Linked DNA regions of Oryzias latipes. The protein of the gene in region 1 interacts with the protein of each later gene in a pairwise test. Links are inferred from orthologs where the notes say so. Each region holds a gene or a part of one and is shown in the gene's direction. Other genes may lie near its edges.

Region 1 (4,436 bases):
TTCACTCAAAATTCCGTCACCGTTTAGCGGATTTGAGACAAAACTCACACCGAAATCAAAGCGGCTGACTCAAATAAACACCTCTGGGGTTAAAAAGCAAAGCCAGCCTCCGTGCTGATGACGTCACAGCAGTGCAGGTACCGCGATGGGGGGACAGCGGGTCCCCGCTGCAGCTCACCGTATGTGCGGAGCGAACAGCAGCAGCAGCAGCGTCACCACCCCGATCCCCGCGATGATCACCAAGACCCACATCTGAGCGCTTCCACGGGCCTCTGCCTCCGGCCGGACGTCAGGGATGTGTGGGCAGAGCGGGGCTGAGCAGCTGATGTCAGGGCTGGAGGGGCGCAGCGGCACCGAGAGCGCACGTGCAAAGGATTGTGGGATTGTAGTCATTGTTGTGTTTTGTAGTCCTTTACATTGGAGGTCAAATACAAAAAAAATGTTGTTTTTTAATTTCACGTAGCAGCAGGAAAGATTAGAATGAATGCCAAAAGATATATATACAAACTAAATGTGTTTAAAAAACAGTAAGAAAAATCGTAAAGGATGAGTGAGAAACGGTTCATTATAAAGGAATACAAAACTATAGTTTAATTTAAGAAATGTAATGCCAGAATTCGAAGTAAAACATGGAAAAATGTCAATTATTGTAGATTGAATTTTGTAAAAGAAATTGGAAAAAAAGACAAAAACATATAAACACAACAGCTAAATCTAAATCCTCCCACAGCCTTATATTTTGCAAAAAAAATTTAAATAAATGTATATACATTTATATGATTTATTATCATTTGAACAATTATTATTATTATCACTAGAATCAATTACCATTTAAGTTGCCGTTATCACTTCATAAAACTGAAAGCTGCCTCTGGTTATTTCTGTATAACATTTATTTAGAATATCTATTGCATTATTATACGTTGTCCTCGAACAAAATAAGATAAAACATTCAAATAATATTAACTTTTTAAAAACTAAAAATGCATTTTCAGCACAAAAACTCAATTTGTAGTGAAGGTTTTATTTTATTTTTACAAATATCCTTTTATTTATTAAAATAATAGTAAGTTGAGTAACACATATACCAGTAGGCCTATTTGAATCAGTTGCAAAAATTGAATTATAGAAATCGCATCTAATTTAATTTTAATTGTACACATAAATTTAAATCAAAACATTTTCTTTCTTGTAACTAAAGATTCAATTTAGAACTCTTCTGTTTAACGAAATCAATAAACTACACTTCCCAATTTCCCCTGGAGCCAATGTTAGGTGTCTATTTAACTGCCTGACTAGAAATCTTTACTCTTTTCCCTTTTAAAATTCCGATAAGCAATATTGTGTGATACAGTTCATAAAAAATAAATTTAAAATGGTATCTTTAACACTATTTTAATTTTTAAATGTGTAAAACACAACCGATTATTTCATTCTTTTACGGAATTTTAGTCCTTTTGGTCACGAGGACCATCATGCGGAAGAATCCCGGGTTCTGATGATGAAGGAAGCAAAACAAACAGATTATCTTAACCTTTCCACCTACAAAAAAACCTTTTAAGACTCTTGAATATATCTATATTCAGGAGGAGCAATAATAACTGTATTCAGGAGGAACTATCCGGGTTGATCCCTGAGAAATGTCGTCGGAGGAATTCGAGAAGTTGCAGGAAATCTACAGATCTTTGTACGAGGAGCTGAAGTTAATTCCTGACAGAGCCGCGAAATGTCACGGAGGTAAACGAGGATCATGTTCTTTGTTGCTCATTGTGTTCTTAAAATCTCACTAAAAAACAAAGTGAAAGAGGTTTCATTCAAGATCATTCATAGGTTTCATCCAACAAATCAGTTTATGCAAAGGCTAAAAACAGAAAAACTGTTCTTTCTGTTTTCATTTGAGGAAACGTTGTTGATGCATATTTTTTGGGACTTGCATGGAAAAAACATCTTATTTGGTTTCATTAATTATGATAATAAACATTCGTCTTAATTTGATTTAACGAATCTCCTGATTTTACTAAGTATTTTATTCACAAAACTAAATTTAGCAATAAAGCTCCCAATTGTTTTGATTGATCGACTTAAATTAGATTTTACTAACAATCCATTTCCCCCAATACAAACAAAGAAGCAATTCATACTTGTCATTTTGCTCAGGTTTGTCATTTCATATAACTTTATTTTTGTATATTTATCCCTCTGGTGTTTATAATTGATGTACAAGGTAATGGTCTTTATTATTTACTGTACGTCTCCTGGGTTATGAATGAATAAAACTAACAAAATCTCACTCTGATCATCTTTTGATCTATTTCCAAAGTCGTCTTAAATTATGATCATGTTTTTTTTTATTTAGCCAAGAAGCTGTGTCGTTTTCTAGGACAGCAGTTTGTTAGAAATTTGCGTCAGAGTTGTGGGCGGGACTGTCGGCAGGAGTAAGCCCACCCCCACTTCCCGTCACCCGTCTGTTTACACGCTCTCCTGCTTACAGCCTCTCACACCCTCAACCTGACGTTACAGGTGCAACACATCGCAAATATACGTTTTTCAAACTGCTTTTTTTTCCGTCCGCTCCCGATTCACAACGATTTGAATAAAGAATTACTCAGAAAGGCAGTTATAAGCTACATGTTATACATGTCCCCCATCGTTTTCATGGCAGTGGGTGTTTGAAAGGATGGATGGATGGAAGGAGCCTCTGTAACCTGTGTGCTCTGGTCTGCAGAGGAGAGGAAGAGGCTGGTGAGGAGCTTCGATGAGCGGCAGGGAGAGGCTGAGGAGGTGGTAAGCAGATGTCCTCCTTCCTGACGGCTCACATTCATGGAGTCATTTTGCGGTTAAACACAACAGATGGCACATTCATTATTAAATATTAATTTTTAAAAAAGGCTTTGAAAAAATCAAACTGGGGTTTTTGGTGCTACAGTCAAGAACCAGCGAAGACTTGAAGTCAAAGTTCAAATATTTGGTTGCGTTTCACACACAAAAATAAGAATATTTGATCAAATTTTGTTCATCTCTTCCTGTTGGAGGGAAAACGAGCTTCTAGTTTCACATGAAGTCATTGTGCGTTTATCAGCTGATTAACCTTTAATTTCTTTTTTTCATACTGTTTTTACATTTATTTGAAATGAACAGTGTGATTATGGTTACATGGTTTGCATGCAGCTTTAAGTTTAGTTTTCTATTTTAAATTTCTTTTTGTTCTTTTCATTCATTTGAAATAAAAGAAAAAAATGTTTTATTGTTTTTTCCCCTCTTTTTTATTTTTATTTTTTACAGCAAACAATACCAAAAAAAAGAAAAGCAAAGAACAACAAAACAAACAAATACCCTGCAGATTTTACAATTAAATGTTCAAGTAGAGGTTGACTTGTCTATAGAAATAATCCATTAATGGTTGCCATGTCTCAGGTGTAATTTCTTTTTTAACTGAAGAGTTAATAATTCCATTTTTCTTGAACCTTGTCGGCGTTTCTATAGTCGTTTCAGACGCTAAAATCCATCTTTTTGATCAAATGGACTTGGATTTTCTCTCACAGTTGCAGGGCATGGAGGACGAGCTCCGTGCGGCGCCGGCGTCCTACAGAAACGCCATGAGCACCAAGCTGCGTCTGTACCGCAGAGACATCGGCAAACTGCAGAGGGACATGAAAACCTTTGCTCCCGGCTTCGGCCCCGCCCCCCTGACGTCTCACGGCGACCGCCAGGGCCTCTATTCACCCGAGAACCAGCAGAGTGTGAGTGTGGACCTTCACGCCTCACAGGTGTTCTGGAAACCTCCTGACTTCCTGTTTGTCCCTGGGGGGTGCAGACACACCTGCAGTCGCAGAGGTCGCTGCTGCTTCAGGGGACGGACTACCTGAACAACGCCACGCAGAGCATCGAGCGCAGCCAGCGCATCGCCGTGGAGACGGAGCAGATCGGTACAGACATCATCGAAGAGCTGGGGGGGCAGAGGGAGCAGCTGGACCGAACCAGAGACAGAGTGAGGCCGCCGCCTCCTCCTCCTTTCCTCCTCCTCCTTTCCTCCTCCTCCTTTCCTTCTCCTCCTTTCCTTCTCCTCCTCCTCTTTGTCCTCCTGCTCCTTTCCTCCTCCTCCTTTCCTTCTCCTCCTCCTCTTTGTCCTCCTCTTCTTCCTCCTCCTCGTGTTCCTCCTCCTCCTTTCCTCCTCCTCCTCCTTTCCTCCTTCTCCTTCTCTTCCTCTTCCTCCTCCTCTTCCTCTTCCTCCTCCTCCTCCTCCTCCTCCTCCTCCTTTCCTCCTCCTCCTTTCCTTCTCCTCCTTTCCTTCTCCTCCTCCTCTTTGTCCTCCTCCTCCTCGTGTTCCTCCTCCTCCTTTCCTCCTCCTCCTCCTTTCCTCCTCCTCCTCCTTTCCTCCTTCTCCTCCTCCTTCTCTTCTTCCTCCTCCTCGTGTTCCTCCTCCTCCTTTCCTCCTC
Region 2 (4,474 bases), on another chromosome or scaffold:
CCTGAAGCATATTTACCTCCAAAAGCAGAGACCACTGCTTCTTTTTGACAAACCTGAATGTTGTCACAGCTCCACATCGCTGCTGTGTGTTTGTATGAGAGTGTGTGTGTGTGTGTGTGCTCTATTGAGTGTCTGTTGCCACAGTTACCAAAACGCCAACCTCACTACGTCACGGCTTTAGACAACCTTCACATTCAAAAGCGCAGTAGCTTTTCCTCTCTTCCCTCCATCTGCCTTTTGTTTGGAGCTGGAAGCTCACTGGACCTTCAGTTCCAGAACTCAACCTGTCCTCCATGTGCGCGTCCGCCTGTTCACTTTATTTATGTTGCATGTATTCACGTCACCATGGCTACGAGCCGGGCCAACAGGCGTCATCAGAAAGGAGAGGAGGAAAAGCAGAGAAGCCGCTCTCCCCTGGACGCACACACACACACACACACACACACACAGATCCGGTGCTGCTGGTGGGTCTCTGCTCCGGTGAGCTCCTCCATCAGGGTCCAGAAGGACCGAGCAGAAAGGCCGGACTGTGTGAACGCTGATGTGACTGGAGGAATCTGTCTCTGAGGCGCCGGATGAAGTCCGGCCTGACTCATCCTCCTGTTAGAAGAAGGAGGAAGACGAGGCAGAGAGGAAGCTCAGGGAAGCTGGATCTGCAGCGCCGCCTCAGAGGAGCTGGATCCGTCCTTTCATCAGGCTCACGCCGTTGTTCCAGCGCTCTGGCTGTGGTGAAGCTCAGAGGTGGACTTCCTGTTTTGTGTCCTTTAGGAACGACTCACAATGGCGGACTTCAACCAGCTGCTGCGACCTGCAGGACTCCGCCTGATCATGTGATCTGACTCGAAACCTTCGCTGGCGTCCCTCACCGGTGAGCCATCGTAGTTCTTCTGAGGGAAATCGGGTCTGTTATCACAAAAGCTTTCACACGTTCCCAGTGATCAGCCCAATCTGCAAAACACCTTTATTAATAGTTGGAGGACAAATGAGGCAGCAGGAGAGGACTGTGAACACTCAGCTTGGTAAACCAGAAGTGTGTGTGTGTGTGTGTGTGCACATGCGCGTGTGTGTCAGTGGATGATAATGCTCAGGATGGATGAGAGCCACTCTGTTGCCAAGGTGACGGACCAGGCTGTAAACACACTATCTCTGATTCATTTTTCCACAATACACAGTCTCTTTACACACACATACATGCACATGCATGCACGCAGACATGTACACACATATGCACACACGTGCACACACACACATAGAATAGAGGCTGATCAAAGGGCGACCTGAAGATCCGGAGATGAGAGCCTCTTCAGGTTGTTTAGCTGTGGATCAGAGCAGGAATATAAAGGCAGCGGACCCTTTTTGACATCTACACACAAACACACACACTCAGACACAATCGCACAACACCAGAATCCCACACAGCTGTAGCTAAAACTCAAAAGCAGGAGTGAAGGTGAGAGTTGCAGCATGCACACACTTCAGAGGAACCTCGAATCCAAACCACGACCAGCGTGACGGTCAGATCTCAGACCTTCATGTCTCTGTGCTTCAGAGTTTTTCAATCCGATGCCACACGCCATCCCAGAGGCGGAAGATCAGCTAGAGTGGTCACCTGACACGGAGGAACCTCACTGAACCGGAGGACCATGACCCGCCGCCTGAGCAGCTCCACTCGCTCGCACACTGAGGATTCCATCTTTCTGAAGCCGGATGAAGATCCCGTCTGGCTGGATGAACCCACCAAGATAGAAAAAGTGAGTGATGGGGTCCTGAAGAACGAGGGGCTGACGGACGGCACTGATGGACCACCGGGGGACGGCGCACAGGGAAAGGAGGCCTTCCTGCAGAAGGTGTTCGCTCTGGTGGTTGAGATCCACTGCTGGGCTGCACTCTTCATCAGCTCACAAGTTGTGGTAGGTAACCAGGGTTTGCTCTTTGTAAAATGAGGAGGAGGAAGTTCCTTCAGTATAAAAGCTTTGATCTTCCTGCTGTAGCTTTTATTTTGGCGTCTTTGTATGTAAAAACGAGAAGGACGACACTGCTCACTGCTGCAGGAGTAGGCTTCAGTGTGTCTCCTCCCGACCTCAGAGCGTCTGCTCGATTATTGGTGCTGCAAAACTTTAGCTCAAACTGCCCCCCCCCCCCCCCCCCCCCCCCGCCATGTTTCCAGGGTTACTGTGTGTTTTTCCTCCTGGAAGGAAACGGCCCCCTCTCTTCCATCCATAAAGCCCTACACGTCATTGACTTCTACTTTGGCTTCCTCTTGCCTTTCCAGCGCATCTTTGGGTTGGACGTAAGTGTCACTTTGAACCCCCCCTTCACCCCCCATCCTCAGACAGGAGTCCACCATGAGCTGTTTGTAACCTTCTGCTTCTCTGCTCTGCTCAGTCTGTGATGATGATGAAGGAGGTGGCGAACACCAAGCAGCACAAGTGGATCGTCCAGGGAACCTTGGGCATCGGAGCAGCCATCTGCATCCTCATGGTACGACTGTGGTGGACCCTCAAAACGGCTTCTTTGGTGCTGTTCTCCACTTGGACTCGGGTCCTGGAGGGTTTTTAGGTATTCCATGCTGTAATGAAGCCTCACCTCCTGTCTTCTCTGCACCCATGCTCAGGTCGTCCACATGGCGTGTAAGTGGCGTTCTGGACTGTGGTCCACAGACATGGTGTCCAGAGAGATGGGTGACCGCCGGCAGTCTGTGAGCCGCCAGCCCTCCTTCACGCTGTCCGAGTGGACGGATGCTCAGGAGGATCTGCTGGATGTGGAGGCTGAGCCTCAGACTCCGGTCTTTGACTCGGAGCACAGGGCGGATGGCGATGCCGCGACCCTCACAGTGACGCCCGTGGGGCTACAGGAGAGGTCAGCGAGAACCAGGAACTGAGAAGAATGCTTGAAAAATGTTTCTTTAACATGAAAGTTTCAGCAAACTTCAGCCGTTTCTGACTCTAAATTCTGTGGAGGTCCTTCCTCCATAGAGAACACACTGAACTACACCTGTTCATCATAATAACTTTATTTACGGCTGTTAGTTCTTTACAATTTGATCCCAGTTATTCCGTTTTTCTCCAATTCCTGATAAAAATCTCCGTCAGTGGTTTGGTTCGGCCTCCGAACTCCTTCTGGAGCTTCATCATGTTCCAGCATCTTCCTCGACCTGCTGACAGGAAATGCCGTTTTTCATCCTTCTGTGAATGCAGATGTGCTTCTAACAGATCGATTCCTTGTTCCCACCAACTCTGACTCCTGCAGACGAGGCTCCAACGTTTCCCTGACCTTGGACATGTGCACGCCGGGCTGCACCGAGCCCTACGGATACGGAGCGCAGCTGTCTCCCAGGGACCAGTCGGCTCAGGAGTACCTCCGGGAGGGGTCGCACGTCCTGACCCCCGCCATGCTGCACAGCAGGGCCATGGATGACCAGAGCCTGCAGGCGGAGTTCTATGTGAGCGGCACCGCGGCATCCTACACATCAGATTAGGAGACACGCAGCGGTTCCGACACAGACTCAGGCACTAATGCACACGCCCACACATGCACCAACGCTTGTCAGAGCCCATGGTCAGAGCTCTGCACACACCCTGAAGCTTTTCCAGCGTCTGTCAGTGGGCGAAGCGTGGAAGGAGACGCGCATTTGTACACAATAAACCCACGGAGGATTCCACTGTCTGGGAGGCACGATGAATGAGATCGCCAAACATCATCAGAAGCCCTGAAGTCATTCACAATTAGCACAGAAAGGGTTTGGAGTGAAGGCCGCTGGATGGCGATCTGTTGGCGTTTGCCTTGGGCCAATCCCTGGACATTATGCAGACTTTTCAGCTCTGACTCTTCCTTGTGTTCTAACAGGAAACTCCCATGAACTTTGTGGACCCTAAGGAGTACAATTACCCCGGGCTGGTGAGAAAGAACCGCTACAAAACTATCTTACCCAGTAAGTGCAACAATGTGCTGGCAGTCTGAAAGCATAGAGCCCATCCCCCTGGCATGAAGCGCTCAAACGTGTCTCCAAAGATTTGAACCAGAGAAGAATTCAAACTTCATTCATGACTTCTCCACAGATACGCACAGCAGAGTCATCCTGAAGTCACAGGACGAAGAGGACTTTCTGTCCACCTACATCAATGCAAACTATCTGAATGTAAGTGGCCCTTTCTGATCTGTGCTCAGGGGTCAGGGCCTCGCTCTTTGCTCTCACGTCGTTCTAAAAGCTTTCTGTCGCCGTGTTGCAGGGCTACGGGGGCGAGGAGCAGGCCTACATCGCCACACAGGGTCCCACTGTGAACACGGTGGGGGACTTCTGGAGGATGGTGTGGCAGGAGAGAAGTCCAATCATCGTGATGATCACCAACTTGGACGAGAAGAACGAGGTGTGTCTTCGGTGGCAAAGATGAGGAGGGCGAAGAGGAGCTTTGAGCTGGAAAAGTGAAAATCTGCTGTGTGACTTTCTCAGAAATGTGTGGAGTACTGGCCGGAG
Region 3 (3,978 bases), on another chromosome or scaffold:
ATATTTTCCGTTTCAGCTTTTAGTTTCACTGCTTCTGTAACAGTGACTTGATGACGATTGTATTACACCTCTCCACCAGAACCTGAAGCACCGGACTTTGGGCTCTGAAATTCTGACACCATAAACCCTAATCAACCAAACGATCTGTTCCTCCTGTAACTTCCTCTTTTTATCATTTAAGTTTTACAGCAAAAATCACAGCTTGCAGTATTGTTGCCATAGCTTTGATTATCACCGAGGGAGAATAGAACAACAGCCTTGTCACATAGGATTGTTAATCATAACCTTTGCATGTACTAAACTATAGCACAGTTCTTTTTAGGGTATTTTAGTTTCCTTAGACTGTGGTAACAGTGTAATTTTTCATTTTTAAGTAAAACTGTGCTTAGATGTTACATGTTTACCCTTCCCTTAGTCTATGCTAGTGTCCAGTTTGCAAAATAATCTGTATGGTTTTGCACATCATTCTGCAAAGTGAGGCCTGAAATCTTTCTGGGGTTTACCTGCAAACGTTCTCCGGATTATGCGGCGCAACCCCGGCTTTTGATTTTTCTAGACAGATCCATCGATCCCTTTTCGTGATACTTGAGAGAACATTAACTTTATTTCAGGAGCAGCAGGAATTAATCTGCTAATGTATATCAATTAAAGAGGGACTCAAAAGTCCTTTTTCTTGTGGTGTCCCAAATGCAGACTGGAGTTGTTCTTTGTGGGTTTCCCTAAATAATATATAAACTGGCAAACAAATTTGCTGTAACATGAGTACCCTGCAGTCCCCCTCTTTCTTCCTCTTACCAGCTAGGTGTACAAGCTTACCCCCCCCTTTTCAGTTTTTGTTACCTTGATACACTGTAGTGATGATTACACATTGTGCTCACGATCCTTCTGTTTAAACATAGTTTTTTTTCCTTCCTTTTTTTTCATTTGGTTTTGCAGCATTCCTTGTTAGCAAACGTGGTTTCAAATCTAAAACTATTGAAGGAAAAAAATAAAATGCGGCTTTGCCTGAGAACAAGTTTTTTGGGAAAGGCTGCAGGATGGGTTATCTTCAAGAAAATAAATGGTGAAACCCTGAGTGACTGCGTGTGTGTGCTCTGTTGGTGGAGAGGCGCCTGCGTCTGAAGTTCGGTTCAAATCGGTGACGGCGCCTGCTGATTGGCCAGAGAGACAGTTTGTTCGCATGCGCAGTTTCGTGGTGCATTTGGAAACTGTCAAAAAATTGTTTATCTTCTGTTGTTTGTACTTCCAAAAGTAAGATGTACCCAAAATCAGAAATATTTTTAGTATATTTCGTATTTTAAATAATTTTTGCATAGGTTTGTGCTGCTAAAATTACGCGTGCTTCCGTGTCTCTATCCGCAGCTTGTATTTAGGAGGGATTTATTCTAAGTGTCCCTGAAGGCAGCACCGGTAGGAACAGGAAAAGGGAAGCTCAGACGGACACTTTCCTTCTGAAGTGACGGTGAGTCTGAAACAAATAATTTCCTTACGAAAACATTGTTTACGCCATCACATCTAACAGGCGAACAAGACAAAAAACATTTCCGAGCTGACACTGAAGTAACATGATAGCTTTGCTAGCAGTGCTAAGTTAAAAGGATTTGAACTTGTTTTGGTAATTGCGAGCACAAACATTCCTGATGCTAGACTAGTGTTTTTAAAATGAGCTAAAAGTAAAGCTAGGCACGACGTGTTCACGTCCATTTGAACCGCGGCGCCAACTTTGTCCCAGTTTCCACGCACGGATCATGTTGAGCAGACTGTCCGGACTGAGGTGCTGGGACGGGGTGGCAGCTGGCATCGAGGCCGCTATTGTTCCTGCTCTGGCGGCTGTAACAGGAGCAGAGACGGTCCTCCTGATCCCCACACAACACGATGATGAGAGCCAGCAGAAAAGCTCAGAGGCCAAACCTTTAGAAACAAGACATTCAATTTCATTTAGCAAATAAATAGTAGAGCTCTCACATTTCCCTTTTGAAGGATTGAGCTCCATCTAGTCAATGTTTTTTTTTTTAATTATTTCTCTTTGAGTAATGACTGATAATGGCTGACAAATTAATCGAATGGGTTATGATAAGATTTACATTTCAATACATATTTTTCTCGCTGCTCTTTTTACCTTCTCATTTGGGTCTTCATCATTTATATTTCTCAGATTGCGCTTGTTTAGATTAAAATAAATATATTCCTTTATTTTAGGAATTTCCTGGAGATTTTAACTGTCCAGCCCAAAATGAAAAACAATTCCCTGTAGTTTGTATGTTGTTTTATTGAAATTGGACTGAAGGCATTTTAGAAAGTCTAGATCAGTGGTTTAGAACCAGCAGCTCTAGAGCCTCTAGTTCAACTCATTGATAAACAGTTGAAGGACAGTACGTATCACAAGTCAAACTAACGTATGGACAGATTTTTGAGCGCCACATATTAAAAAAAAATCAATTGGAGGTCAGTAAGCAGTACTGGAATAAATAATTTACTGCTGACATGACACTACCTACGACTAAATTAGCTGCATTGAGATGATCCTTATAGTACATGGAGGCTTTTATTTTGAAAGAAAGTATTGGGAACCTCTGTTTAAAGTTAACTCAAAGAAACGGCTATTTCCTCTGTGTTTTGTGTTCTTTTCTATTTATCATAATGACAACATAAATACAAACCTGTGTCTTATTTTTCCAAAGGGTGAATGAAGTAAGACCTTGTGGCTCCTGCTTGATAGTGGTCAGTAAGAAATCAACCAGAATTATTTAAAAATTTTTGGTTGAATGAGTTTCAATTTTTACAAGTAAAGGGACTAAAAAGTCTTTATTGCATTACCCTTCTTGATGGTCTAAAATACTTTATTTTTATTTTATTTTCAGATAATCCGATGACATAAAAAGTGTCATGGTGCTTCAAAATAAAAGAATTAATCATATGTTTGCTTTGATGCTTTATTTCCGTTGTGCGATGCGCTGTTTTCTTTCCGTTCTCCTGACTTTCCAGACTTCCCTTCCAGGCCTGCAGTCCTAATCCAGGCCTCCCGTCTCTGTCATGGACAGCCTGGAGGAGGACCTGACCTGCTCGGTGTGCTACCAGTTGTTCTCCGACCCGCGGGTCCTCCCGTGCTCGCACACCTTCTGCCAACCTTGCCTGGAGAACCTGCTGCAGGTGTCCACCAACTATTCCATATGGCGCCCGCTCCGCCTACCAATCAAATGCCCCAACTGTCGCAGCGTGGTGGAGCTGCCCCCGGCGGGCGTGGACGCCCTGCCCAGCAACGTCTCCCTGCGGGCCATCATTGAAAAGGTGTGGAGGAGTTTTGTGCCTCGGTGGGACGTTTCAATTTTAACGTTCTTTTTCTGTTTTGGGGGCTATAAGTACCAGCGAGATGAGGAGCCACGCCCCCCGTCCTGCCAGGAGCACCCCAGACAGCCCCTCAACATGTACTGCATCCAGGATCGCCAGCTGATCTGCGGGCTGTGTCTGACCGTCGGGCAGCACCACGGCCACCCCATAGACGACCTGCAGGCCGCTTTCGCCAGGGAGAAGGCCACTCCCCAGCAGCTGGCCGAGCTCTCCGAGCACAGATGGGCTGAGGTGGGCGGGGCTTTCATGGCGGAGTGGTTAGATCTGCAAGATTATGGCAAAATGTATCCAAAACATTCAACATTTTGGGGAAAAAGCTTGAAATAATCCAAAATGCTGATGAATTTCTGACTGACAGGCTCCCGCGCGAACCTGTCAGTCAGAAATTCATCAGCATTTTGGATTTTTTCATAACAAAAGCTAGAATAGAGACAGTTTGAACGTGCGGTTGTGTGAATTTTAAGGTTTGTGAGCTGGGGGAGCAGCTGGAGCAGGAAAAAACCCGATGCGAGGGTTTGCTGAGACAGGACCGGGACGACGTGACCCAGTTTTTTCACTCCCTGGCGTTGGTAATGGCCAAAAAGAAAGAGGCTTACCTGGAGGTTCTGGACAAAGCTGCTGCTGAGGTGT

The links.
Region 2: the proteins of vti1b (region 1) and tyrosine-protein phosphatase non-receptor type 5 interact in binary tests that used the Homo sapiens proteins (3 or more experiments, as listed by UniProt). The two-hybrid records come from large-scale screens. The link is inferred for Oryzias latipes from reciprocal best matches to the Homo sapiens genes VTI1B and PTPN5.
Region 3: the proteins of vti1b (region 1) and trim59 interact in binary tests that used the Homo sapiens proteins (3 or more experiments, as listed by UniProt). The two-hybrid records come from large-scale screens. The link is inferred for Oryzias latipes from reciprocal best matches to the Homo sapiens genes VTI1B and TRIM59.

What each region holds. Positions count from the first base shown.
Region 1 is NC_019880.2:1,875,755-1,880,190, forward strand, and holds the start of vti1b (vesicle transport through interaction with t-SNAREs homolog 1B), read left to right. Parts: upstream 1-1,432; 5' UTR 1,433-1,640; coding exon 1,641-1,737; intron 1,738-2,662; exon of another isoform or gene 2,663-2,685; coding exon of another isoform or gene 2,686-2,725; coding exon 2,726-2,784; intron 2,785-3,542; coding exon 3,543-3,740; intron 3,741-3,814; coding exon 3,815-3,988; intron 3,989-4,436. Other genes in the region: retinol dehydrogenase 12, read right to left, coding at 179-393. UniProt on the Homo sapiens protein: V-SNARE that mediates vesicle transport pathways through interactions with t-SNAREs on the target membrane. These interactions are proposed to mediate aspects of the specificity of vesicle trafficking and to promote fusion of the lipid bilayers.
Region 2 is NC_019864.2:31,280,899-31,285,372, reverse strand, and holds the start of tyrosine-protein phosphatase non-receptor type 5, read left to right. Parts: upstream 1-1,615; 5' UTR 1,616-1,643; coding exon 1,644-1,910; intron 1,911-2,167; coding exon 2,168-2,290; intron 2,291-2,385; coding exon 2,386-2,481; intron 2,482-2,614; coding exon 2,615-2,859; intron 2,860-3,249; coding exon 3,250-3,442; intron 3,443-3,846; coding exon 3,847-3,931; intron 3,932-4,058; coding exon 4,059-4,138; intron 4,139-4,229; coding exon 4,230-4,367; intron 4,368-4,450; coding exon 4,451-4,474. UniProt on the Homo sapiens protein: May regulate the activity of several effector molecules involved in synaptic plasticity and neuronal cell survival, including MAPKs, Src family kinases and NMDA receptors.
Region 3 is NC_019871.2:13,509,642-13,513,619, reverse strand, and holds the start of trim59 (tripartite motif-containing protein 59), read left to right. Parts: upstream 1-1,178; 5' UTR 1,179-3,033; coding exon 3,034-3,288; intron 3,289-3,360; coding exon 3,361-3,579; intron 3,580-3,812; coding exon 3,813-3,978. UniProt on the Homo sapiens protein: E3 ubiquitin ligase involved in different processes such as development and immune response. Serves as a negative regulator for innate immune signaling pathways by suppressing RLR-induced activation of IRF3/7 and NF-kappa-B via interaction with adapter ECSIT.